6 linked regions of the Oryctolagus cuniculus genome follow. The protein of the gene in region 1 interacts with the protein of each later gene in a pairwise test. Links are inferred from orthologs where the notes say so. Each region holds a gene or a part of one and is shown in the gene's direction. Other genes may lie near its edges. The genes, in order: C7H1orf94, RAD51D, RBM47, MAPK1IP1L, GCC1 and heterogeneous nuclear ribonucleoprotein F.

Region 1 (3,500 bases):
CCATGCTTTATATTATTTCTATGTAATCAGATTATTCATATCTCTCCTTCTTCCTAGCCTTTGTCCAACTATTTCAGTCAAATTTCCCTTCCCAAAAGTGATGCCAAGACTGGGGAAACCAAAGATCCTTTTCTGATCCGATCAGCCTGCAGAATAGCTTTTAGAGAGGGAGAATTCTGGATTCACATCCTGAAACAACTCAACCTTATCCCATTCATCTAGACTGACTTTGAGTCACTCTGCCCTAAATTAGTGTCTTAAAATATTTTAAAAATTATTCCCCTATGGATAACAACGTGTGCAAGATTCTCAGTTTTACAAAGTATATGTCCCATGGAGGGGCTGCTTTCATGATGCGATAAGAATGAATTCCAATGGCGTAGCAGTTGTTTATAAAATGCTGGCTTTTTCTGAAGCTTTTGAAAGGATTTGGTTTTGTAAGTGAAACATAGCTCTAGAAATGACATCCATTTTATTCCCTTGCTAAACTTTCTCCTTCACTAATGAATGATGGAAACTCCAATCTAGACCTTCCGGGATTTCTCTCTCTTCCAAATGCGTAAGGCATGACCCAGGGGAGTCTTCCTAGAGTTGGAAACTCAGCAGGGCTTTGAAGAGCCCTCTCCAGGCTTCACAGGCCTGGCCCTGGGGCCGTCCTGGTGCTGCAGGCCTCTGCCTCCACCACTGACATGCTCTCCCCTTCCTGTGACTTACAGTGAACCCACCTGTCACGGCTGCCGACAAGAACAACATCAAGTACACAGGGAACGTTTTCAACCCACGCTTCGCCACAGCCTTGACCTCAGCCACCCTGAACCAGCCACTCTGGCTCAACCTGAACTACCCACCTCCACCAGTGTTCCCCAATCACTCTACCTTCTCACAGTACCAGGTGAGTGGGCAGGCCGTGACACTCGCTGTGGCCATCCACAGTGGCTCTGGCTATGCCAGGGGCGGGGGAGTGGGTGGGTAGGGCTTGCTGGGACCCTGTTTCACAAAGAGCCCTTGGACTTCCCTTAAAGGCCATCCCTCCAATCGTGAGACTCCATGGGGTCTACAGCAGGGCACTATCAACTTGTCAACTTATTAGTTATATTTGCTTTTTATGGCTGCATCAGACCTACCGCTTGGTAAACACACACGCACACGCACACACACACACACATACACACAGAGTTCTTTTCCACTGCCTGGAATCTGCTTCACTGTGCCATTTGTTCCAGAGGTGCTTTGCTGGTCGTGGCTGGGTAAGTGCTTGGGTCCCCAGGGTAAGATGGTGTCATAGTCCTGTCCATCAGCTTCTGTGACTTTCTTTAAAGTTAGGTAAGGGGCAGCCTGGATTATTTGGGACAGTCTGGGTCTTTGGCCAGAGAATAGTGATTAAAGCCATCCCCTTTCACTCTCACATGCTCTGGTTTGGATGACAAACTATTTGACCACATGCAAGCTGTCTGAACTTTGTACCAGCTGAGGTGGCTTGGCACACACTCTCGATCTTGGGCTCATAGCAAGAAGAGAATTAGTGGCCAGACACACAGAGGTGGTGAAACACTTGTAGCAGCATTGGAAATTCTACTCACAGAACTCATTTATGCAGGGAAAATGTAGTTTCTTTATTTTGTCCATTTAACTTAATATCCCTTAAGAGCTGCCGCCCACTTGGTAGAAGGAGGGAAAAATCAAATAAACGTCCACTCTGGTTTCAACCTTTGTCCAATCCAATAACTTAAGCAGTCCCTTTAGGTAGTGCTCCGTGTTTTTTTTTCAGGAAAGCTGCTCAGCATCTAAGATTTCTCAACCTTCTGTCCCATCCCCCTTCCCCAGCCTGGCTGCTTGCCCAATGCATCCAGGACCTTAGTTTGTATGTCCACGGTCCATGACCTTGGCCATCTGCAGCCCCAGTCTGGTCCGGCAAAGCCTGGAAAGGGCAAGGGGAGAAGGAAATACACCTGCAGCTGCCTGCCTTCCTCTGGGTCCCATCTGAACCCCTCCCCGAGCCCGGTGTCATTTCCTCTTCCTCTGTCACAGAGCAGATGAGCCTATGGCTTCCATGTGCTAGGCAGAAGGGGACCGTCTACTCCATCATGATGCTCGGAGCTGGTCTACCAGGCTTAGCCATGGAATATTCAAGAATTTAGCAAAGCCTCTCTCTCTCTCTCTCTCTCTCTCTCTCTCTATCTCTATCTCTATCTCTCTCCTTCTCTTCCCTCCCTTCCAAGCCTTTCATTTATTTGTTTGCTGAAGGAAACAAGTGCCCACTTTTGCCCTTGGGAAAAGCCTCAGGCCCACCATGGGAAGGAGAGGTTGTAGATAAAAGCAATCTCAGGGGAAACTAAGTATCCGTTTCATGTTGCTAATGCAGTCTGCCCACACAGGTCTGGGGACTAAATAGCACTCGGGTTCCGGTCCTTAGTGCAGCGACTCCTTCACTCTTGCCACTTCTCCCCTTGCATCCTGGGGCTTGTTCACTCCCTGGTCACTCACTCCCCTACTCCCTGACCTGCTCATTCCTCTTTCTTCATTTCCTCATTCATTTCACTGATTCTGAAAGCCTTCCTTCCGCAGTCCCTATGGGCCGGCTGTGGGGCTAGGGGAGAGGATGCAGAGAGGGCTATGAGGCTCAGAGTCTAACCCAAGTTCGGGGCTCCACCGCAGAGCAGCCGGGCCCCTCTGCTTCCACTAGACAGACAATCCCATAATTTTATTTAGTGTAAACGAATTCGCTCTAAAATGCACTCCCAGAGCTCACCACGTAAAGCTAATTTGCCACGGTTTGCTTTATTAAGTGGGGTAGTGTCTCTTTGTTATGTTAATTTCATTGCACTTGACTTTTTGAATGCCTGAGATTTCCTCTGTCTTCAGAGATGCTGGCGTTCATAGGGCAGGGCCAGTTCCCCTGAGGTTCCCCCATTTCCGGGCGAGGTGGTGGAAGGGCCTTTTGGGGCTGAGCAGGCCCAGCTGAAGTCATGAGAGAAGGAGGTGACCCTTCCAGGTGGGGACAAAAGGCAGCATCATTTACCTCCTCCCAGCTTCTCACGGTCTCGTCATGCTTATCTAGCTGCGAGACAGCTGCTCAGGGCCTGAAATAATAGCAAGAAGGCAGGTTTGGAAATCAGTAACCTTGAGATTCAAGGTTCTGCTGCATCTAAGCTCTGTGGCCTTGGACAAGCTGGTTGGCCACTCTGAGTCCGGGTTTCCCTGCTTGTGAAATGGGTTCATCATCATCATCATCACGGCAGTAACAGCAGCACCAGCACAGCACGGATATGGGTGCACGGAGTCCTGGAGTCCGCGGCTGGCGAAGGGCGCTGCAAATCTCACGTGTGATGCAGATGTTGGCTTTTATTATTATGCAGCCCTGGTCGTCCAAGGGAATGGGGTCAGGAGCTCTGCAGGCCCTGAGAGGACAGAGAGGGGAAACGGGGACTGGCTTATCCTGGTCTCTCCCCTGCTTGGCACTGGGAGTAGACATGAGGTCCCAGATCCAATTTACCCAGAGC
Region 2 (3,931 bases), on another chromosome or scaffold:
AGCTGCCTCTTGAGGAAAGTGGGAGTCCTTTGGTAGTGACGGTGCGGTTCATGGACTTGGGGTTCAGAAAGGGCTTCGGCAGCTGGTCGAGTGCACTCACGAGGTTGAGGTTTTCCTTCTTCAGCACGGCCTCCTCCCCATCTCCCACTTTACAGAGTGCGTTTGATGCCATCTGGTTGGTTTGGGACCACAGCCGTCACCATGCAGGACCACCGAGCTGGCAGGAAGCAGAGAGAAACTGCGGGGCCAGCAGACACACCGGAGGGGGTGCAATGGGCTGACTTCACAATCATCATCAGCTGTAACAATCAGGGGCCAGCCTGGCCCTGGGTTTGAGGCTCCCTGGGGTGCTGGCTGGGCCAAAGGGCCAGAGCCACAGGTAGGGTGGAACCAGGCACAAACCACAGCATCCCTCAGGCTCTACCAATGCCCACAACAGCCAGGGCTGGGCCAGGCCGAGGCCAGGAGCTCAGAACTCCATCTGGGTTTCTCCCATGAGCGGCAGGGACCCCGTCATCGGAGCCATCATCCCCATAGTGTCCCCAGACGCCTGCCTCTGAAGACCTCGGAACACTCGACACCTGTGCCTCTCTGCGCTGCCCTGCAAGGAGATAGAGGATGAAAAAGGCGCCTGGGCGGGGAGGGAGGTGCCTGGGGCTGGGGAGGCTGGCGGTTCCGGGCAGAGTCTCTGAGTGCGGGCGACGCTGGCTGCGGAGGCTGCTGCTCTCTGTCCTCAAACTGTAGGCGGCAAACCCCACTGGGTCGGGTGATGGCTCCCGGGTGCTCACAGCTCCCAGGGGAGGCCGCTCGGAACAGGGATACGAATAGCGCCTCCCTCTAGGTTTGTCAGAGCGCTCGGTAAAGTCATTTTCACGCTTCACCGAATCGCACGTGCGTGTGCGCGTGTTCCATATGCTCCAAGGTTTCGAGACAGAGAAGTAGGTGCCCCCTGCGTGCTTATCCTAGGATCCGTACCGGTCAGATTGCTTTGAGTCCTTTTCATTGCCTGTCTCTCCCCGACTCATCAGCTCCCAGAGGGTAGAGGATTGTCCAGGAGTTTAACATTTTTGTCCTAGGGCGGCCGTGGGCGCGGGGTGGGCGCGCAGGAACCGGATCGGGCTGGCGCGGCGCCAGGCGGCGGCTCACGGATCGCGGATCGCGGGGCCCGTAGGACCCGCGGGCGCGAGGCTGCGGCGGCTCGCCCTGTGTGGCCAGCAGGTGGCGCTGCGGGCCTGGCCCACGCCGCGCGCGCGAGCCTGGAACCCGGAAGCGGCCGGAGGCGGGCGGGCCCTGGGCGCCGGAGGGGCGGGTGGTCAGCCCCCTCCTGCTACCCGCCGCTCGGCGCGGCTCCTAGCCCCTTCCTCCCGCCAGCAGTGCGTCAGGACCCGCTGCACCGAGGCGTGCGAGGGGCGTCTGAAGGGGGCTCTGCAGGGACGCTCTGTCCCGCGCTGGCGGGGAGCATGGGCGTGCTCAGGGTCGGCCTGTGCCCAGGCCTCAGCCCGGAGATGGTCCAGCTTCTGCGGAGCCGCGGGATCAGGACAGGTGACGGCGGGCCGGCGGGCGTGCGTTCGTGCCGGGAAGCCGCGGGGCCACCCCTCGCCCGCCACACGCGCCTTTCCGCGCAGCCTCGGGCATGGGGCGGGGGGCGGGGACGCCAAACTCTGGGGAGCGGTGTCGCACCGGCCCTTGGGAAGCCCCTGGCCCCCTCGCTGCCCGTCAGCTACAGGTGTTTTGTTTTCAGTGGTGGACCTGGCCTCCGCAGACCTGGAGGAGGTGGCCCAGAAGTCTGGCTTGTCTTACAAGGTGAGCTCAGGAGGAGCTCCGCGCTGCGAGCCTGGGTGGGCTTCCTCGCCCCTGCCCAGGGCAAGGGAGCAGAGGCTAGCCCGAGATGGACGAGGGGAGCTGGTGAGGCCCAGGGATGGTTGAGTTCCCGGTTGTCCCTCTCAGTGGCCAGCCAGTCTGAGCTGCTCTGGAGCCTGAGCTGACACCCCCCCCCCCCCACCTTGGCAGGCCCTGGTCGCCCTGCGGCGGGTGTTGCTGGCTCAATTCTCGGCTTTCCCCATCAATGGCTCTGATCTCTACGAGGAACTCAAGAGCTCCACCGCCATCCTGTCCACGGGCATCAGGAGGTTCGTATGTGACTGAAGCTGCCTCTCAGCTCAGCCCTTGATGAGGGAGGCTGGAGAGAGCAGGTCCTTGGAAGCACTGTGGCTGTGTGGGAGATGGGGACCGTCCTGAGCTATGATGGTGGACCCCACCCCACCCCGACATCACCCCTTGCTGAGATCTACAAGATGTCAGTGTCTCCTTGTTACTCAGCACATTGGACTATCTCTTCTGTGGTCCTGCCTCCCATTTCACTTAAGGACAGCACTTTAAAAAAAAATTTTTTTTTAATTTATTTGAAAGGCAGAAAGTTACAGAGAGACAGAGGGAGAGATAGAGAGAAGTGTTCCATACGCTGGTTCACTCCCCAGAATGCCCCAGTGGCCAGAGCTGGGCCGATCCAAAGCCAGAAGCCTGGAGCTTCTTCCGAGTCTCCCATGCAGGTGCAGGGGCCCAAGGACTTGGGCCACCTTCTACTGCTTTCCCAGGTCATAGCAGGGAGCTGGATTGGAAGAGGAGCAGCCGGGGCTTGAACTGGCGCCCATATGGGATGCCAGCACTGCAGGCAGCAGCTTTATCTTCTACACCACAGCGCCAGCCCCAAGGGCTAGCATTTGCTGAGTGCCTACACTCGCATCTATTGACCATAGGGTTATAAGTGATCTCATCAGGGACCCCACAGATAGAGGCATGAACTCCACTTGAGTTTGGCCCCAGAGGAGTAGCAGAGGTGAGGCTCAAAGCCCAGGTGTATTTGAACCAGAACTTGGTTCCTTTCTCCACTCTCTGCAGTAGTAGAGAACAAGAGGACTTAACAGAAAGGAGCAGCTGCCTCCTGCCCTGATCGGCTGGGGAGGGAAAGAGTTGGAAGACAACAGGCATTTTCTGGCCAAATGAGTGCGGCCTCCTTCCTGGCCTATTTGTGCAGAGTTTGATGTCTTTGGGTTGGTTTAGCCTTTGCTGTTTCCATAACATTCTCTTGGCAAGATTCATACAGCATGGTGCCTGCCGCTGCTGCTGGGGTCCCGGTTTGTGATCCATCAGGCACTGGCTGAGTGCCTGCCTCCTGGGTGCAGGTGCATACAGATGGTATATATGCCCGGGAGGCCTTGAGGAGACTGGTGTCCACTGGGTATAGGAGAAAAGCCGGCGAACATAGGAGGAGTGAGTGCATAGAGGTGGCAGCATCCAGGAGGGAGTGATTAACAGGAAGTGGACTGGCCTCGGGCTTAGGGAGCTGATAAAACCGCCACACATGCAGAGAGCAATCAAGTGCTGCCCTGCAGGACTGCAGCTGGCTCCGGCCCTGCAGGGTAGGCCAGCCAGAGTGGTTCAGGAGGGCTCCAGAGGAGGCAGGCCTTGGGCACGGAGCAACAGATGGGCTCTCACCGAAGCTTGCTGGGAGCCGGGCACTGTGCTCAGTGTGTCGTTTCGTTACTTCACAGCCACCCGTGAGCGTGTTATCGCTAAGGTCGTCACTTGGGAGGTGAAGAAACGACTTGCTGAGGAGGGGGCGGCTAGTGAGCAGCAGCCCTGGCACACGCCCCGCCTCTGAGAGCGCCCCTCCGCCTTGCCTGCCTGCAGCTGGGAGCAGAGGCACAGGCAGTGGAGTAGAGGTGTGCAGAGTGCACGGGCGGCGGAGAGAGGCCAGGGAGGGACTGCTAGGCGGGGGTGGGGGTGCTGTGTGAGTCGGATCCAGGGCGGGTGGTGGTGGGAGATGTGTTGAATGAGAAATAGGAGAAGCTGTACCGCCAGGTGGGAGGAATCAAAGATGACTCCTCAGGTTCCCAGCCTTCATCGTGATGTGCTCCTGCCTGCCTGCCTG
Region 3 (4,277 bases), on another chromosome or scaffold:
TTCAGAAGACAGCCGAAGCACTCAACCTTTTCTTGTAAGCTGGGACGTACAGCACTTCCAGAGGCAGGTTTTTGGCATGGTGATTATGACTCTTCACGGGGTATTGGAGTTTCTGGGTTTAGAGTCCTGGCTCTTCCTAATCCCTGGTCTCTGCTAGTGTGCACCTGGGGAAGCAGCGGGGTGATGGCTCAGATAGTTGGGTCCCTGCCATCCCATCTTTTCCCAGTTCCTGGCTTCTGCGAGCATATGGGGAGTGAACCCACAGGTAGAAGAGATCTTTCTCTCTGTATCTACCTTTAAAGTACATAAAAATCAGTCATCAAGTCAATGCTCCAGTAAAAACAGGGTAATTCTCATGTGGGAAATGCCATTTTTATTTACTTATTTATTCATTTGAATGGTAGAGTTACAGACAGAGATGAGGGGAGACAGAGAAAAGTCTTCCATCAATGGTTCACTACTCAAATGGCCACAACAGCCGGAGCTGAGCCAATCCAAAGCCAGGAGCCAGAAGTTTCTTCCGAGTCTCTGATGTGGGTACAAGGGCCCAAGCACTTGGGCCGTCTGCTTTTCCAGGCCATAGCAGAGAGCTGGATCAGAACAGGAGCAGCTGGGACTAGAACTGGTGCCCATATAGGATGCCAGCACCACAGGCTGAGGCTTAGCCCACTGCACCACAGCACTGGCCCGGGAAATGCTATTTTAACATCCACAAATATAAGAAAGATAATAGGTATTTGCCATAGACATTTTGGGGTCTGGTCTTCTACTTGATTCCCGAGTAGCTTGGATTCTCATCTGCTCTCTGTACTGATAGGACCCTGTGTAATAAATAGTAACTACTAAATTGATGGTTATTTTACATAGATTGATTATCTAGTTTTCCAGAAAGTTCTGGGAGGACGGTATTTGTTATAGACAAAATTTTTATTTTACTTTTTTAAAAATAATTATTTATTTACTTGAAAGAGTTACATGGGGAGAAAAGGAGAGGCAGAGAGAGAGAGAGAGTCTTCCATCCACTGGTTCACTCCTCAGATGGCTGCAATGGCTGGTGCTGCGCCAATCTGAAGCCAGGAGCTTCTTCCCAGTCTCCCACATGGGTGCAGGGGCCCAAGGACTTGGGCCATCCTCTACTGCTTTCCCAGGCCATAGCAGAGAGCTGGATCAGGCTCGAACCGGCGCCCATATGGGATGCTGGTACTGCAGGCAGCGGCTTTACCTGCTATGCCACAGCACCGGCCCCTATAGGCAAAATTTTTAAAATGTCCCAGCCTCATCTCTGAAAGCAGTATGATGAGGTTTCACTGTGGTGATGATAATATGTCCTACAGCTCAGCTGACCCTCAGAAAGTCTGATTATCTGGGTGGAGCTAATCTAATCACACAAGCCCTAAGAAAGAACAGAGTGCTTTCTCCCACTGAGAACAGAGATCGGGACATGGAAGTGTGAGGAGGACTGGCCTATCGTTGAAGGGACCTTAAGAAAAAAATGTTGGAGCCTTAGAGAGCTGAGAGAGGCCCCCTGCGGAGAGCCAGCAAGGAGCGGGGACCTCACTTCTACAACTTCAAGGACCTGGATTCTGCCCATAAGCAGAAGGAACTTAGGAGACGAGCCGCGGTTCTAGGTGCGCACGCAGCTGCCCGGCACCTCGTTTCCAGTCTGGGGAGACTGAGCAGAGAGCGCAGGTAGGCTGCGCGGGACCCGTGCGCTGCGTGCAGGTGGTGGGACACGGGTGGGTATTGTTCTCACGGGCTGCCTTGTTACCCAGCCCCGGAGAACAAATGCAGCATTAGTGCTCTCCTGCCCCAGAGGAGGGGACTGAAGGCTCAGAGGACTGAAGGCCATTGGGTAAAGCCCGTCTCACGAATGTGGTTAGGGCAAGGTTGGACGTAGGCAGGCAGACCCACCCACGGGGCTGTTAAGTATTGAGTTCACCAGCCAGGAGCTCGAGATGAACAAGGAATAAAGCTCTCTCTGGCTGAGAAAAGGATGACTCAGACACTTACTTATTTTTAGAAACCAACATGAAACTACTGGCTGAACAATGGCCTGGGTTTCTGCGGAGATCCTGTCGCGTGGGCGTGGCCGCCGTCGCTGGCTCCACGCCCCCTTTCACGGTGAGCACCAGGTGACCGGTTTCCAAACCGGTGAAGCTGAATGGATTTAGCCAGATTAACATTCTCACAGCAAGACGCAGTTAGGGGAAGAGGCATGTGCGGCCTTGTTAACCGCTGAAGCCCACGCGCAAACGCAGCTCTCCAGGGCCGGGCCGCGGAACTGTCGGCTTCCTGAAGGCGCCCCAGTTGGAGGAGGAGGAGCCTCCAAGAGCAGTTCCCTTTAGGAGGTGGCCCCGGCTGCCCTAGGCGACCTTCCTCCTCTCCTCTGCGTTCACGCCACTCCTCCAGCACTGCCGAGCCTGCCTGGGGGCCCCTTCCCCTCTGCTCCTCCTGGTATGGATGGAGCGTTCTAACTCCTGCGCTTCCCTCCCTCAGCGGTCTGTCCGCTGGAGTGTCTTCCCCCACCACAGGCCACTCTCCTTTCCCTGCTTTGTCCCGCCCTCACCCCCACCCCCCACCCCGTGACAACCTGGTATGCCTGACATTTAGAAATATATCTATTTATGCAGGGTGGGTATGTGGTGCAGAATTGTCATCACATGGAATGCCTGCATCCCATAGGGGAGTCCTGGCCCCACTTCCCGCACAGTTTCCTGGGGGCCGGTGTGCACCCTGGAGGCAGCAGGTGATGGCTCAAGTACTTGGGTCCCTGCCACCCCCCCATGTGGGAAATTTGCATTGAGTTCTGGGCTCTTGGCTTTGGCCTGGCCCAGCCCTGGCTAGTGAAAGCATTTATGGATTGAACCAGTGGATGCAAGATTAGAAGATCTCTCTGTCTCTCTAAATAAATAGCGTGTGTGTGCGCGTGCATGCACACGCACACACACACACACACACACTTGTTGTTGCCTCTCCTGAACTAGAATGTAATATCTAAGAGGGAGCTGGGATGCTTGGTTTATTCATTGCTGTATCCCTAGGGTACAGAAAAATTCATGGCACAGAGTAAGGACTCAGAGAGTCACCAAATGAATTCATGAATCCAGAACAAAAGCCTTGCATCTGTTTAAATAATTTGTCACTCCTGACAAATTGTCACCCCATTCCTAATCCGTCTCTTCCCCTCCCCCATAGCATGCGCTAATCAGTTCAGTAAGGAAAGTTACTTGCATCATTGTACAAAAACCAGAATAAAGATTACAATGAGACACTGTGTATAAGAATAAAGCCTGTCCTTGCCTCTCGGTGGTCATGCGACCTTGGAGAAGTCATTGATTTCACTTGGCTCCAGATGTCTTATCTTTCATTGGAGATAATGGAGTCCTGTTGGGAGGGGCTGGAGGATTTCTTCCTGCGCTAAGATTCTTTGAAGTTAGAACTCGGTTTGTAGAGAATCAGGAAATATTGGTTTTAGCCCTGTGTTAAATGTAAACTGAGTGTGTAATTTAGGGCAAGTCCTTCAACCCATTGTAGGCCTCCAGATAAAACAAAATTTCTTTGAGGTCCATTTGAGGTCAGCTCTCAGTCCCCAGCAGTGGCTGGGGAGGAGCCAGGTTGACCAGATATTCTGGTACTTTCCAGCCCTTAATCTCTCTCCCTACCAGGTCTGGATCAACCTGTTGTTTGCTGAGGAAAGACTCAAGACTACAAAGTTGTTGGTTCAGTAAATATTTTCTGAGCATACGCTGTATGCTGGGGATACTACAGTAAACAATGCAATTCCTGCCCTCTATATCCTAAAGATGGGAAACAGATGGAAAATGAATCAAAACCAATGCGATACTGTGATAGAGTAAGAAATATATGTTAGGTCTTTATGCCGTTCCTACCACAGCTTCTAGAACGCCCATGATTTTCTAAGTGACAAGGTGAAGGAAGTCTCGTTTTCCTGTAAACCTCACCTGAGTTTATGTTAATGAGGTGACTCTGGAGAGTCCCTAGGGAGGGAGGCTGGTTGCCAAGGGAACCGGTCATGTGATTACAGAGTTGGAACTTCCATCCCTACCACCCAGCCTCTGGGGACACGATAAGGGTCAGAGATTGAGTTGAGTTGGTGTCAGAACTCAGTTAAATTGTAGGAAACCCAGTTGGTGTCCACAGAGAATTGAAGAATTGCTTGGTGTGGAAAAATCCACTTGGTGTCAAAAGTGTTGGCATATAAGGAAAAAATTCTTCCCCTTTTAACTATTAACAAGGGCTGGAAAGGATCTGGAAGA
Region 4 (4,056 bases), on another chromosome or scaffold:
GGCTGTCCCTCCCTTTGATGCACAGAGCCAGGACTAGGGTGAGAAGGGTGAGGTATTCCACTTGGGCACAAAAGGTTTTTTGACTAAAAGACTTCATAAGGAACATAATATTTTCAAGCAATGTATGAGTGTATAGAAAGTCTACAATCAACAAAATACCTAAATTTTAAATCAAGACAGGAATTTAATCACTGATGTTTCCCTCAAACCCCAAAATAGCTCCAGAAGGCACTGCTGACTGTGCCTCCTAAGAGGTCCTGGTAGGTTCTCCACACAAGTAATGCTATTTTCCACAGACCTGTGGTTTTGTGCAAAACTATGCCTCCCCTGGGCTTAAGTACTGAAGCTCCTCTATTGCTCCTTTATCAGTGTGAGAACTGTGTGGTGGAGCATATCCATGGATGTCTGTCTGTAAGAAGTGGGAATGTCACATGTCTTCCCACTGGCCCACTAACTGCTTTCACGTAAAGAAGCAAAAGTGTAAGTACTGCAAACTTTTAGTTTACATACATACATACACATACTATAAGTGTATACATAATATGTGTGTTTGTATAGATACCATGACATAGTGTGACATAGGTTCTTTAATGGCTGGGGCCACGTGTCAGTCATCTGGCCTAAGTATCTGAGTGTGAGAAGAGACATTGTTCAAGAAAAATCTGCAGGGGCTTGTGGTGTAGCTCAGCAAGTTAAGGCACTACCTGCGACGTCGCCATCCCATATGAGCGCTGGTTCCAGCCCCAGCTGTCCTGCCACCCAGCCAGCTCCCTACCAATGTCCCTGGGAAGGCAGCGGACTGCCACCAACGTGGGAGACCCGGGCGGAGTGAACCAGTGGGTGGAAGAGCTCTCTTTCCCTTTATCACTGTCTTTCAAATAAAAAATCTGCTAGGACAGCAAATATCAGTGTGTCAAGCCACTTGGAAACATCTTCCACTTCACGCATTCATCAGAGTTCTCCCCAAGGTTGGTCTTAAGTTCTGGGTCCCGGGTCAGGCTGCGGTTTGCTTCCCTCCAAGGTGAGTGCCAGGCCTGACTGAAACCCGCTGAACTGAGGGAATGGAGACTGCATTGTGGGAGCGATTCCCGCCGCGCTGCCTGGAAAATCCCAGGCGGCGGCGCCTGCTTTCCCGCGGTGCGCTCCCGCTCAGTGCCATCGGCGGCCTGCAGGGGGCGCGCCCCGCCGGACGCCGGACGCTGGACGCCGGGGGCGGGGGACGCGGGCGGGGGCGGCGCGCGCGCTTCCTCTTCCGGCGCCAGGAGGAGCCTCGCGCTCTGCTGGTGCCGCCGCCGTCGCTGCCGTCAGTCGGGCTGACCTCGGTTCCTCAGCGCTCAGGTCCCTCGGCTCCATCGTCGTTTCCAGACCCTGCTGGGGGCTCAGATCTTGCCAAGGTGAGGCTGCTTCGGAGCGGGAGGGCTCGTGGAGACGGGCGACGGGGAGCTGAGGTGGCGGGCCCAGGCAGCGGGAGGCGGGCGCGGTAGCGGGGCTGCCTGCCGTCTCCGTCGGCGCGCGGGCCGTGGCCTCCCGCCGGCGGCCGAGACGGAGCGCGCGCCTCGGCCACCTCCGCCTGCGCCGCGGGGTGTGCGACCCCCGGCGGAGACGGGGTCGGGGGACACGGACGCCGCGCCCGACGGGATTTTCTCCGTTTGACGTCAGGCTGGGCCGGGGGCGGGGCGGGAGCGGGCCCGCCCCTCCCCCACCGTCCCTGGCGGGCGAGACCCGCTCGGAGGCCGGTTCGCTCCGGTTGATCCCGCACTCCCTTTGTTCGTTCGGCCCCGAGGGTCTGTTAGCCTGCTCCTCCCCGGCCTGACCCCCACCCCCATGCATTCACGTTCGGTGAAGAAGGGAGCGCGAGGCCTGCGTCGGTCGTGAGGAGGACCCGCGCGGGGCCGGGGCCCGCGGCTTCCACTCTCGAGGCGCTGCGGTGCGGGACACTCGTGGAGGAGCGCGAGTTATGCGTGGGGGTTTCCACGGACTAAACCGATTTCCTCTGTACAGTGCACAGCGCTGGTGGTGCTTTTCCTAGACACAGAGTCCAGGCCGGGCACGATACCGTCGCCTCTCGTCCCCCGAGCCCTCATCGCAGGCGGAGGTGGCCGTCCCGAGTCGCTCGGGGGTTCTTTGTTCAGTCGCGTTCTGGTCGCAGGAGGAATAGAAATTTCTTGCCTTGGGTGTCTCTGAAACCCCGCCGTGTAAACCTGACTTGCCTCGGAGACTTGTGCGCTGAGCTGTGTGCGGGGGGGAATGTTCTTTCTCTTTCTCCAGAAGCAGTGGGTAACGCCCAGCCCGCCTTTTTGGAACAGATGTTTTGCAGAATTCAGAATCTTTGGATTTCATCGATTTCAGAAAGACCGTGTCATTACACGCACAGACATAACGGCGTGGGGAAAATTTGTGCGGCCGTGGGGGGGAATGCTCATCTGAATGAATAGAAACCATAAATAGCCTCCGGTCAGATGTGGCCGCCAAAAAAGTTTTGTGCCAAACCTGGGAGTTTCATTTTCAGAGGTTTGTGATTTGAAAAAGACGGACAGGCTTATGCACCTGTGGGGCTGGTTGTAAAAGCGCGCTTGTGTTGAGTGTTTGCTGTATACCAGGGAGTGACTACAGGATTTGTTTATCCCTCCGAGCAAAACGGTGAGGCTCCTGCTATGTCTGCCTTGGAGAGATTGGCCTGTCGAGAGTCCAGCCAGCCAGTGAGGAGCTGTGGTTCTGTCCAGAGAATCCACAACTCATTCAGGTGACTGATCAAGGTGAAACGACTCAAACACACTGGTCCAAGGCTGGCTCGATCCTGCCCACTGATTCTGTCGCCTCCCAGCTTCTCACACACTGCCCTCCTCTCCCTAAAACCAGTCCTCCACCCGCCTCTCCCAGCCGTTTTCCTCATTCTTCTGGACGGCAGAGACCACTTCTCAGGAATTGATTGTCACGCGACTCCACTGACTTTCACAAAGCCAACAGTGCCTGGTACAGTTGTGCCAATAAGTTTCTGAATCCAAGTGAAATATATTTCCAATGTTCAAACTTTCAAAACTCTAATTTTTGGAACTGCCCCAAAATTTAAAAAATGGCACATAATCTGATAAATGATCCTTTACTAAAAAGTATATATCCTTATTCAGAATGTATAGTATTTTTTAAAGATTTATTTATTTGAGAGGCAGAGTTACAGAGAGGGAGAGACAGAGATCTGTTGTATCTTTTAATAAACATCTTAGGTATAGCATCTTACAGATAATTGTTACTTTTAATTACCTGTAAGGTAGCTAAGTATTCTAACTTTTTTAAAAAGATTTATTTATTTATTATTTGAAAGGCAGAGTTTGAGAGAGGGAGGTCTTCCTTGTTTTAGTCCCCAAAAGGCTACAATGGCCAGAGCTGGGCCGATCCAAAGTCAAGAGCCAGGAGCTTCTTCCTGGTCTCCCTCACGGGTACAGGGGCCCAAGGACTTGGGCCATCTGCTTTCACAGGCCATAGCAGAGAGCTGGATCGGAAGTGGAGCAGCCAGGACTTGAACCGGTGCCCATATGGGATGCCGGCACTGTAGGCAATGGCTTTACCCACTACAGCCCAGCACCAGCCCCAGTGTTACAACTTTTAAAGGTGTGGAAATGATTTCTTGTCAACAACCTTGCCTTTTCAAAAGACTCAGTTAATATGATTGATGTCCATGTTTCATAATTGTATTCTAATACAGTTTTTCTTTCTATCATAATTTGATGACATTCTGAAGTACTGCTTGTCATTAGTCACTAGTAATTTATGGAGTTCAAGTTGCTTAAACTCCCTGATTGAAGTATCATTTTTACTCTAAGTGCCTTAGGATTACTAGTTATGTTTCACTTTTTTATGGTATGTCAGAAGAAATTTTTACTGTTTTGAAATTGCTCTTCTTGCTGTTCAGAAAATAATAAATTTTTCAGATGATGGGTAGATTTTGCAATAAAATGGTAATGGAAATTTTGGAAGTAGTAGGTTTATGAAAAAAATAAAACCATTTCTTGATTAAAATCCATTTTTTAAGTTCAGGATTACGTTGGGCTCATCGTA
Region 5 (4,074 bases), on another chromosome or scaffold:
TGCTAATGTATCTGCACAGGAGAATAAATAGCAAAATCCTGCTTCCTGCCTTCCTTCCTTCGAAAGGCAAAGTGACCTAGAGGGAGAGACAGAGAAGGGAAAGATTTTTCCATCTGCTGCTTCACTCCCCAAATGCCTGCAACAGCCAGGAACCAGTCAGACCAAAGCCAGGAGCCAGGAACTCTTACCCAGGTCTCAGGGACCCAGCGACCTGGGCTACCTTCTGCTGCCTCCCAGAAGGGCATTAGCAGGAAACTGGGTGGTAAGCGAAGAAGCGGGGACTCAACCTGCACTCACATAGTGGATGCGGGTATCCCAAGCGTCCGCTTAAGCTTCTGTGCCCCAATGCCCGCCCCTAAATAACAATTTTCTTGTGAGGTTCCCGGCGTATAGTTCGCATTCAGGATGAACCTCATGGCGGCAAGGTGTCCTCTATCAATATTCGTTGACTAAACTCAACGGAACTATGGTAAGGTGCCATGTGCATTCCATAAGCCAGCTAGGTGCCAAGTGCCGTGTTAGGAAGGGCTGCAGTGTTCATAGCCCTAATGGGAACATTTATTGTTGGCCTTTAGGGACACAGGTCCTGAGCCCCAAGTCCTTGTGGCTGGACGCATGGGTCACTGGAGTGTTTGTTAAGAATGCAGTGCAACGTCGCCCCCTGTCGGTCGCGGATCGCAGCCCAAGGGCAAACCAACTGCGCTCGCTGGTCCTCAACTTCCTTTCCTTCGCTCTCCGCAAGCCCCGGCCCCCGAGGTTCCCGGCAGCACTTCTCCGCAGCCCCAGTTAAAGGAGCCCCGCCCACCTCGCGGCCGGTAGGGGCGGAGCCTAGGGCGACGCGCTGGCGTCACTTCCTGCGGACCCGGAAGCTCTGTGGTCGGCCGGTTGCGGTAGTTAAGAAGTCGAGATGGAGCCACCCGCGGCGTAAACCTGTAGCCAACTGTGGGCCGAGGGGGCCGGCCGGGGCCGGGCCGATGAGGCCCGGAGGAGCGGAGAGGGCGGAGCAGCTTCGAGGCTAGCGCGGGCGCTCCCAGGCCGGGAGCTCCTGTCGCGCCAGCGTCGCCCCGCCTCCAGGAGCGGACCCGCTCCCGCCCCCCTGGCCTCTGTCCGGCGGCCCCGCCACCCCGCATCCGGGCTTGGACACCTCTGTGGAGCAGCTGTGCGGCCGCGGCGGGACAACCTTTTCCTCGTCGCCTGCTGGCTCCGCCCGCGTAGTCGCGTCGCTCTCCTGGACTGCTGGAACGCTGACGTGGAGCAGCTCGGTCACAGCCCCCATGGAGAAGTTTGGGATGAATTTTGGGGGCGGCCCGAGCAAGAAGGACCTGCTGGAAACCATCGAGTCTCAGAAGAAGCAGCTCCTCCAGTACCAGGCCAGGCTCAAGGACGTGGTCCGCGCCTACAAAAGCTTGCTGAAGGAGAAGGAGGCGCTGGAGGCCAGCATCAAGGTGCTGTCGGTATCCCACGAGGCGGATGTGGGCCTCGCAGGTGTCCAGCCTCCAGGCCTCACCTTCTCTGACTCTGTGGATGACCGGTGCTCCACTCACAGCGAGGATAGCACCGGCACCGCCACCAGCCTGGACACTGCGGCCAGTCTGAGCAGCATCAAGGGTGAGTTTGGGGTAGAAGATGACAGACCGGCCCGCGGACCACCGCCTGCGAAGTCGGAAGAGGCCAGTGGGTCGGAGAGCGGCGTTAGCAGCAGCAGTGGGGATGGGCCGTTTGCAGGTGGGGAGGTGGACAAGAGGTTGCACCAGCTGAAGACTCAGCTGGCTACTTTGACCAGCTCTTTGGCTACAGTCACCCAGGAGAAGTCCCGCATGGAGGCTTCTTACCTGGCCGACAAGAAGAAGATGAAACAGGACCTAGAGGATGCCAATAAGAAGGCGGAAGAGGAGAGGGGCCGCCTGGAGGGAGAATTGAAGGGGCTGCAGGAGCAGATAGCCGAAACCAAAGCCCGGCTGATCACGCAGCAGCATGATAGGGCCCAGGAGCAGAGTGACCATGCCCTGATGCTCCGGGAGCTCCAGAAGCTGCTGCAGGAGGAGAGGACCCAGCGTCAGGACCTGGAGCTTCGGCTGGAAGAGACGCGGGAAGCCCTGGCCGGGCGGGCCTATGCAGCCGAGCAGATGGAAGGCTTCGAACTGCAGACCAAGCAGCTGAGCCGGCAGGTGGAGGAGCTGAAAGGTGAACTGCAGGCCATCCGAGAGGAGAAGAATCGACCGGACCCCCGGCTCCAAGAGCTTCAGGAAGAGGCCGCTCGCCTCAAGAGCCATTTCCAGGCTCAGCTGCAGCAGGAAATGAGAAAGGTAATTATCCTCATCTCCTTCACATATCCGTCATTTCGCTTGAAGTGCGAGATAAGAGGGGTTTTGTTTTTCCCTCCTCCTTTGGTACTTAGAACTAAGTGGCTGCACTGTCATTTTTGCTGCTACTTGAAAAGTTGCACCAGGGAGCCCTGGAAAAGCCTTTCCTGCGGTGGTGTTGACCAGCTCCTGGGAGTGTGCTTGCAACAGGATGTGGAGTTTCCGAGCCTAGGCTGGGTCGGAGCCAGGCCCCTCTGAGCTGCTGGGCGTTGGCACTGTACCAGCTGCTCTCCGAGCTGCCATCGAGCGGCCGCTGTGCAGTGAAAGAGCGAGTGTGTGCCTGTAGCTGTGTACCCATGGGCAGGGTAGCTGAAGGCAGCTAGAGGGATTTTCCCAGAAGAAATAAACCATGGTAATTGCTTTCTGTCAAGGTTTGTCTGTCATGACAGTGTCTGCTGTCCAGGTGGAGGGAGATCCAACTCAGTTTTGTACTTCCAGGAATAGAGAAAGAGAAAAGCAAAGTCCTGTAATTTCATGATAGGGTTCGGGGTGAGGTGACATATGATAGACAGCAAAGCTGGGTGTGAGCTGATAGGAGAAAGTGGAAGCGCTAAAGCAGAGTGACAGCAGGTGTGCAGAGGTGCTTCATATCGTTTGAGATGATATGTATTTGGGGGCAGAACCCAAGCAGGTAGAGGAACTTCTGTTGGATCCTGCATCAACGGAAAAATCCCCAAACGCTCCCCTCGGTCGCCCTCCTCCCCGGACACACGCACACAAAGTTTGCCATGGGGCTTTGTGACTTTTCTGACCGTATTCTGGTCTTGTCTTTGGCAGACAGCCCTTGCGGAAGATCAGCTCCGCCAGCAGTCTCAGGTGGAAGAGCAGAGGGTGGCGTCCCTGGAGAATCAGATATCTGAGGTGTCTGAGCTGCTGGGCACGTACGAGAAGGCAAAGCAGAAGGACCAGCTGGCCATCCAGAAGCTGAAGGAGCGCGTTCTGCAGCTGGACCTGGAGAACAAGACCCTGGCCCTGGCAGCCTCCAGCCGGTCCCCTCTAGACAGCCATGGGGAGGAGTCCAGCCTGGACGTCAACGTCCTCAGGGATAAGATGGAGAAGCTGAAGAGACTGCTGCAGGTGGCCGCCAGGAAGAGCCAGGTGACCCTGGATGTGGAGAAGCTCTGTGACCTGGACACGGTGGGCAGCTCAGACGCCACTGATGGGGAGAAGGCTTCTGCGCTCTACTACCAGCAGGAGCTGAAGCAGCTGAAGGAAGAATTCGAACGGTATAAGATGAGGGCCCAGGTTGTCCTCAAGAGCAAGAATGCCAAAGATGGCAACGTGGCGAAGGAGCTGGAGGCCGCCCAGGAGCAGCTTGCCGAGCTGAAGGAGAAGTACATCTCCCTGCGGCTGTCGTGTGAGGAGCTGGAGCGGCAGCACCAGGGGGAGGCAGAGGCCTGGAAGCAGGAGCTGGCCCGGCTGCAGCAGCTGCACCGGCACGAGCTGGAGCGCAGCCGGCTGGACTTCAGGGACCGCACGCTGAAACTGGAGGAGGAGCTGCACAAGCAGCGGGACCGGGCCCTGGCCGTGCTCGCCGAGAAGGACCTGGAGCTGGAGCAGCTGCGCGCCGTGGCCTTGTCTTCTGGGCTGCCAGGGCGCAGAAGCCCGGTGGGGGCCGGGGCTCCAGGGGACCCGGCCGACCCGTCTGCCCCAGATAGCCTGACCCAAGCACTGCAGCTTGCTGCGGGCAACGAGCCCACGTTCTTCCTGT
Region 6 (4,274 bases), on another chromosome or scaffold:
AAGTGAGTCTTAGAGCCGCTGGAAAACTGAGTAACAGAAGATGGCTTACTGATAACAAAGTGACTAGGAGAAACTTACAAGCTTTTGACCATTTAAATTATTGTGCCCCATATACATATGAATAAAACATAGCATAATTATATGGATACTATATGATAAATATATACTTATAAATAATTTGTGTAAGAAATCTTCAAGCTTACAATGTTTCGAAGTTTACCTTAGTTTGTAAATGAATGCTACTTTGCCAGCTCCTTGTGATCCAGGATAAATAGTGAATGTTTATGGTTCAGTTGTGATGTCTAGGGTGATCTATTATGAAAATGTATACATAGGTTTAAATGAGTGAATAATATATTTCAACTAGGAGGATACAAAAATAGCAATATATGCAGCTTGCTTTATTTTACCAAACAAGTCCATATCATAGTTTTAGTAGAAAATTTCATTAACATCTTTTTATTAAACTTTCTGTATTTGTTTAGTTTGATGAAGTCATTAATAGTGTCCAGATGAAAAGGTTGCAAATTCTTGAAATCTCTTGTATTTCTTGCTTTAAAAAGGACCTTAATTTTTGTCTATAAATACATCTGTTTTCATAAAGGTACCTGATGATTATAGTACGCCATTTGACAACTGATGACCTTATTTGATTGACCTGCTTGTCAAAATAATTTATTCTACTTGCTGAGCTAAGCCTTTCTTTGCATTTCACTCATAATCACTATCACTTACTTTAACATTTAGAGTAGGCCTTCCATTGTACTTTCATCTTTTTATCATTTTACTACTATAAAAATAATTCAATACTTTTTAACTCTTGTGACTTAGTTATTTGGTGAATAACCTTAGAAAAATTTCTGAACTTTTATGAGATCATTTTTATCACACGTGATACAGACACTAGTTAATTCTGTAGACCAGAAATGAGTATGAAAGGTCCTGTTTCAGACTTGACTTGTTGAGATAGGACCAAATGAATGGCTTTTGTAAGGTGAAATGGATACCTACGTAATCAGGAGGTAACTATATATATATATATAAAGAACATAACCAGCTTATTAAATACCATTTTAATTTAATGCCCTCTGAGTTAGGCACAGTGGTAGGTGTGGGGAGCAACTGGGAGCAACTCGGACTAGACTAAGTTACTGGAATTAAGACTTATTCTATGCATCTGCTCTCCCACAATATGGCGCTGAGAAGGGAAACAGCTTCTACACAGCTGCCTCCAGTTCAACCAATAAACTGTAGGACCTGCTCCTGATTGGAGGAGAGCAGCGTACTCGGCGTGTGGGTAGCAGAGTTGGGATTGGTGGAAGAGGACTATAAAGGAGGAGAGAGACAACATGCACCAGGAACATCTATCTGAAGGAACACCTGAGCAGCCCCCGAGAGAGCCGGCCGGCCGGCGGTGTGCCGCTCCCCCGCTGAAGTGGGGAAAGTGGCAGGGGGAACCGCCCTTCCACGGAGGTGGAAGGGTCGGTAGCCAACCCGGGAAGAACCAGCAGCAAACCCGGGGAGGGCCGAGCAGACGAAAGAACAGCGCAGGGTCCTGTGTCGTTCCTCCACGAAGACGGGGAGCGACAGTAGGCAATTCACACACATCACGTTGTTCAAATGAAGCAGGGGGATATTTGCAGATCAAATAAATGCAGAGTTCTACCTGCTGCAATAAAAATTATAGTTAACCTTTATTGAATATTTTACAATGTGCCAAGTACTGTTTTGGTGTATCTCCTTTAATTCAGTCCTCATTATAGCATTATGATTATGATTCCTATCTTACAGAGGAGGAAACTGTGGCCCATTAAATTTAAATAACTTGCTCAAGACAACAAGAGAAAAATAACACTTTTGGAACTTAGTACTATAAAAGTTAGAATAGCTTTAACTATAAATAGCTTTCAGAAATGTGTAGATGAGCCGGCACCGCGGCTCACTAGGCTAATCCTCCGCCTGGCGGCGCTGGCACACCAGGTTCTAGTCCCGGGCGGGGCGCCGGATTCTGTCCCGGTTGCCCCTCTTCCAGGCCAGCTCTCTGCTGTGGCCAGGGAGTGCAGTGGAGGATGGCCCAAGTGCTTGGGCCCTGCACCCCATGGGAGACCAGGAAAAGCACTGGCTCCTGGCTCCTGCCATCGGATCAGCGTGGTGCGCTGGCCGCAGCGCGCCAGCCGCGGCGGCCATTGGAGGGTGAACCAACGGCAAAGGAAGACCTTTCTCTCTGTCTCTCTCTCTCACTATCCACTCTGCCTGTCAAAAAAAAAAAAAAAATGTGTAGATGAGTTCATAGGCTTATAACAGGTTAATAAATGAAGTTGAGTGTGTCAACATCTTTCATTTTTAAAAATGATTTATTCCGTCGTGGAAGCAGGATTGCGCCGCGTCTTCCTGAAGAAGGTTAAGAACAAAAAGATGCACCTGGAGTTTGCCTGGAGCCCTCTGCGCGTCTAAGCTCGGGTGGGATCTGGGGTCCTTCGCTGGAAGCCGCTCTTGCAAATAGAAACCAGGCCAGCTCTCCTCAGTGGACAGTTGGTTACCTACCAGAGGTGTCTCCTACTGAAGGTATCCTTGGCGATACTCTAAGCCATAAAAAGACAACTTGCACCCAAGTTTGTCTGACATCTATCCTGTCAAGTGTCCATGATGCTGGGTCCCGAGGGAGGTGAAGGCTTTGTGGTCAAGCTCCGTGGCCTGCCCTGGTCCTGCTCTATTGAGGACGTGCAGAACTTCCTGTCCGACTGCACGATTCATGATGGGGCCGCAGGCGTTCATTTTATCTACACTAGAGAAGGCAGGCAGAGTGGTGAGGCATTTGTCGAACTTGAATCAGAAGATGATGTCAAAATGGCCCTGAAAAAAGACAGGGAAAGCATGGGGCACTGGTACATTGAGGTGTTCAAGTCTCACAGAACCGAGATGGATTGGGTGTTGAAGCACAGTGGTCCAAACAGCGCTGACACCGCTAATGATGGTTTCGTGCGGCTTCGAGGACTCCCGTTTGGATGCACAAAGGAAGAAATTGTTCAGTTTTTCTCAGGGTTGGAAATCGTGCCAAACGGGATCACTTTGCCTGTGGACCCCGAGGGCAAGATTACAGGGGAGGCCTTCGTGCAGTTTGCCTCTCAGGAGCTAGCAGAGAAGGCGCTAGGGAAGCACAAGGAGAGAATAGGGCACAGATATATTGAGGTATTTAAGAGCAGTCAGGAAGAAGTGAGGTCATACTCAGATCCTCCTCTGAAGTTCATGTCTGTTCAGCGACCCGGGCCCTATGACAGGCCTGGCACAGCCCGGAGGTATATTGGCATTGTGAAGCAGGCAGGCTTGGAGAGAATGCGGCCTGGTGCCTGCAGCGCTGGCTACGGGGGCTATGAGGAGTACAGTGGCCTCAGCGATGGCTACGGCTTCACCACTGATCTGTTCGGAAGAGACCTCAGCTACTGCCTCTCAGGAATGTACGACCACAGATACGGAGACAGCGAGTTCGCAGTGCAGAGCACCACCGGCCACTGCGTCCACATGAGAGGGCTGCCATACAAAGCGACCGAGAACGACATCTACAACTTCTTCTCTCCACTTAACGCGGTGAGAGTGCATATTGAGATCGGCCCAGATGGAAGAGTGACGGGCGAAGCTGATGTGGAGTTTGCCACCCATGAAGAAGCTGGGGCAGCGATGTCGAAAGATAGGGCCAATATGCAGCACAGATACATAGAACTCTTCTTGAATTCCACCACAGGGGCCAGCAACGGGGCCTACAGCAGCCAGGTGATGCAGGGCATGGGGGTGTCTGCGGCTCAGGCCACCTACAGTGGCCTGGAGAGCCAGTCAGTGAGCGGTTGTTATGGCGCTGGCTATAGTGGTCAGAACAGCATGGGTGGATATGATTAGTTTTGTAGAAGCATTTGAGTTAATTTCAATCAAATTTTCAGAGGCAGCCAGCAAGCAGTGAAAAAGCAGTTATTACCCTAGAGGAAGCTGTGGGACCCATTTTGCACCATGAGTTTGTGAAATCTGGATTAAAAAATTACCTCTTCAATGTTTTCTCATGCAAACTTTTCTTCTAGCATGTGATATTGAGTAAACTAAAACTATTTTCCGCTTTTCTCGATTAACATTTTAGTAGTATCCTTCCGAGTGATGTTATCTGAGTTAAAGTAGTTTAAGTATGTTAAATTGTGGATCTTTTACACCACACCACAGTGAACACCTTGGGGAGATGTACTTTTTTGGAAAACTCAAAGGTGCTAGATCCCTAATTCAAAGAGAAACAT

What was found.
Region 2: the proteins of C7H1orf94 (region 1) and RAD51D interact in binary tests that used the Homo sapiens proteins (3 or more experiments, as listed by UniProt). The two-hybrid records come from large-scale screens. The link is inferred for Oryctolagus cuniculus from reciprocal best matches to the Homo sapiens genes C1orf94 and RAD51D.
Region 3: the proteins of C7H1orf94 (region 1) and RBM47 interact in binary tests that used the Homo sapiens proteins (3 or more experiments, as listed by UniProt). The two-hybrid records come from large-scale screens. The link is inferred for Oryctolagus cuniculus from reciprocal best matches to the Homo sapiens genes C1orf94 and RBM47.
Region 4: the proteins of C7H1orf94 (region 1) and MAPK1IP1L interact in binary tests that used the Homo sapiens proteins (3 or more experiments, as listed by UniProt). The two-hybrid records come from large-scale screens. The link is inferred for Oryctolagus cuniculus from reciprocal best matches to the Homo sapiens genes C1orf94 and MAPK1IP1L.
Region 5: the proteins of C7H1orf94 (region 1) and GCC1 interact in binary tests that used the Homo sapiens proteins (3 or more experiments, as listed by UniProt). The two-hybrid records come from large-scale screens. The link is inferred for Oryctolagus cuniculus from reciprocal best matches to the Homo sapiens genes C1orf94 and GCC1.
Region 6: the proteins of C7H1orf94 (region 1) and heterogeneous nuclear ribonucleoprotein F interact in binary tests that used the Homo sapiens proteins (3 or more experiments, as listed by UniProt). The two-hybrid records come from large-scale screens. The link is inferred for Oryctolagus cuniculus from reciprocal best matches to the Homo sapiens genes C1orf94 and HNRNPF.

The regions. Positions count from the first base shown.
Region 1 is NC_091438.1:138,422,954-138,426,453, reverse strand, and holds part of C7H1orf94 (uncharacterized protein C1orf94 homolog), read left to right. Parts: intron 1-716; coding exon 717-892; intron 893-3,500.
Region 2 is NC_091448.1:39,164,661-39,168,591, forward strand, and holds the start of RAD51D (DNA repair protein RAD51 homolog 4), read left to right. Parts: upstream 1-1,131; 5' UTR 1,132-1,460; coding exon 1,461-1,542; intron 1,543-1,741; coding exon 1,742-1,803; intron 1,804-2,010; coding exon 2,011-2,129; intron 2,130-3,931. Other genes in the region: FNDC8 (fibronectin type III domain-containing protein 8), read right to left, coding at 1-172. UniProt on the Homo sapiens protein: Involved in the homologous recombination repair (HRR) pathway of double-stranded DNA breaks arising during DNA replication or induced by DNA-damaging agents. Bind to single-stranded DNA (ssDNA) and has DNA-dependent ATPase activity.
Region 3 is NC_091433.1:34,409,173-34,413,449, reverse strand, and holds the start of RBM47 (RNA-binding protein 47), read left to right. Parts: upstream 1-1,477; 5' UTR 1,478-1,689; intron 1,690-4,277. UniProt on the Homo sapiens protein: Single-stranded RNA-binding protein that functions in a variety of RNA processes, including alternative splicing, RNA stabilization, and RNA editing. Functions as an enzyme-substrate adapter for the cytidine deaminase APOBEC1.
Region 4 is NC_091443.1:21,429,867-21,433,922, reverse strand, and holds the start of MAPK1IP1L (MAPK-interacting and spindle-stabilizing protein-like), read left to right. Parts: upstream 1-1,256; 5' UTR 1,257-1,394; intron 1,395-4,056.
Region 5 is NC_091434.1:164,051,311-164,055,384, reverse strand, and holds the start of GCC1 (GRIP and coiled-coil domain-containing protein 1), read left to right. Parts: upstream 1-1,274; coding exon 1,275-2,306; intron 2,307-3,140; coding exon 3,141-4,074. UniProt on the Homo sapiens protein: Probably involved in maintaining Golgi structure.
Region 6 is NC_091446.1:59,592,951-59,597,224, reverse strand, and holds the start of heterogeneous nuclear ribonucleoprotein F, read left to right. Parts: upstream 1-1,474; 5' UTR 1,475-2,643; coding exon 2,644-3,891; 3' UTR 3,892-4,274.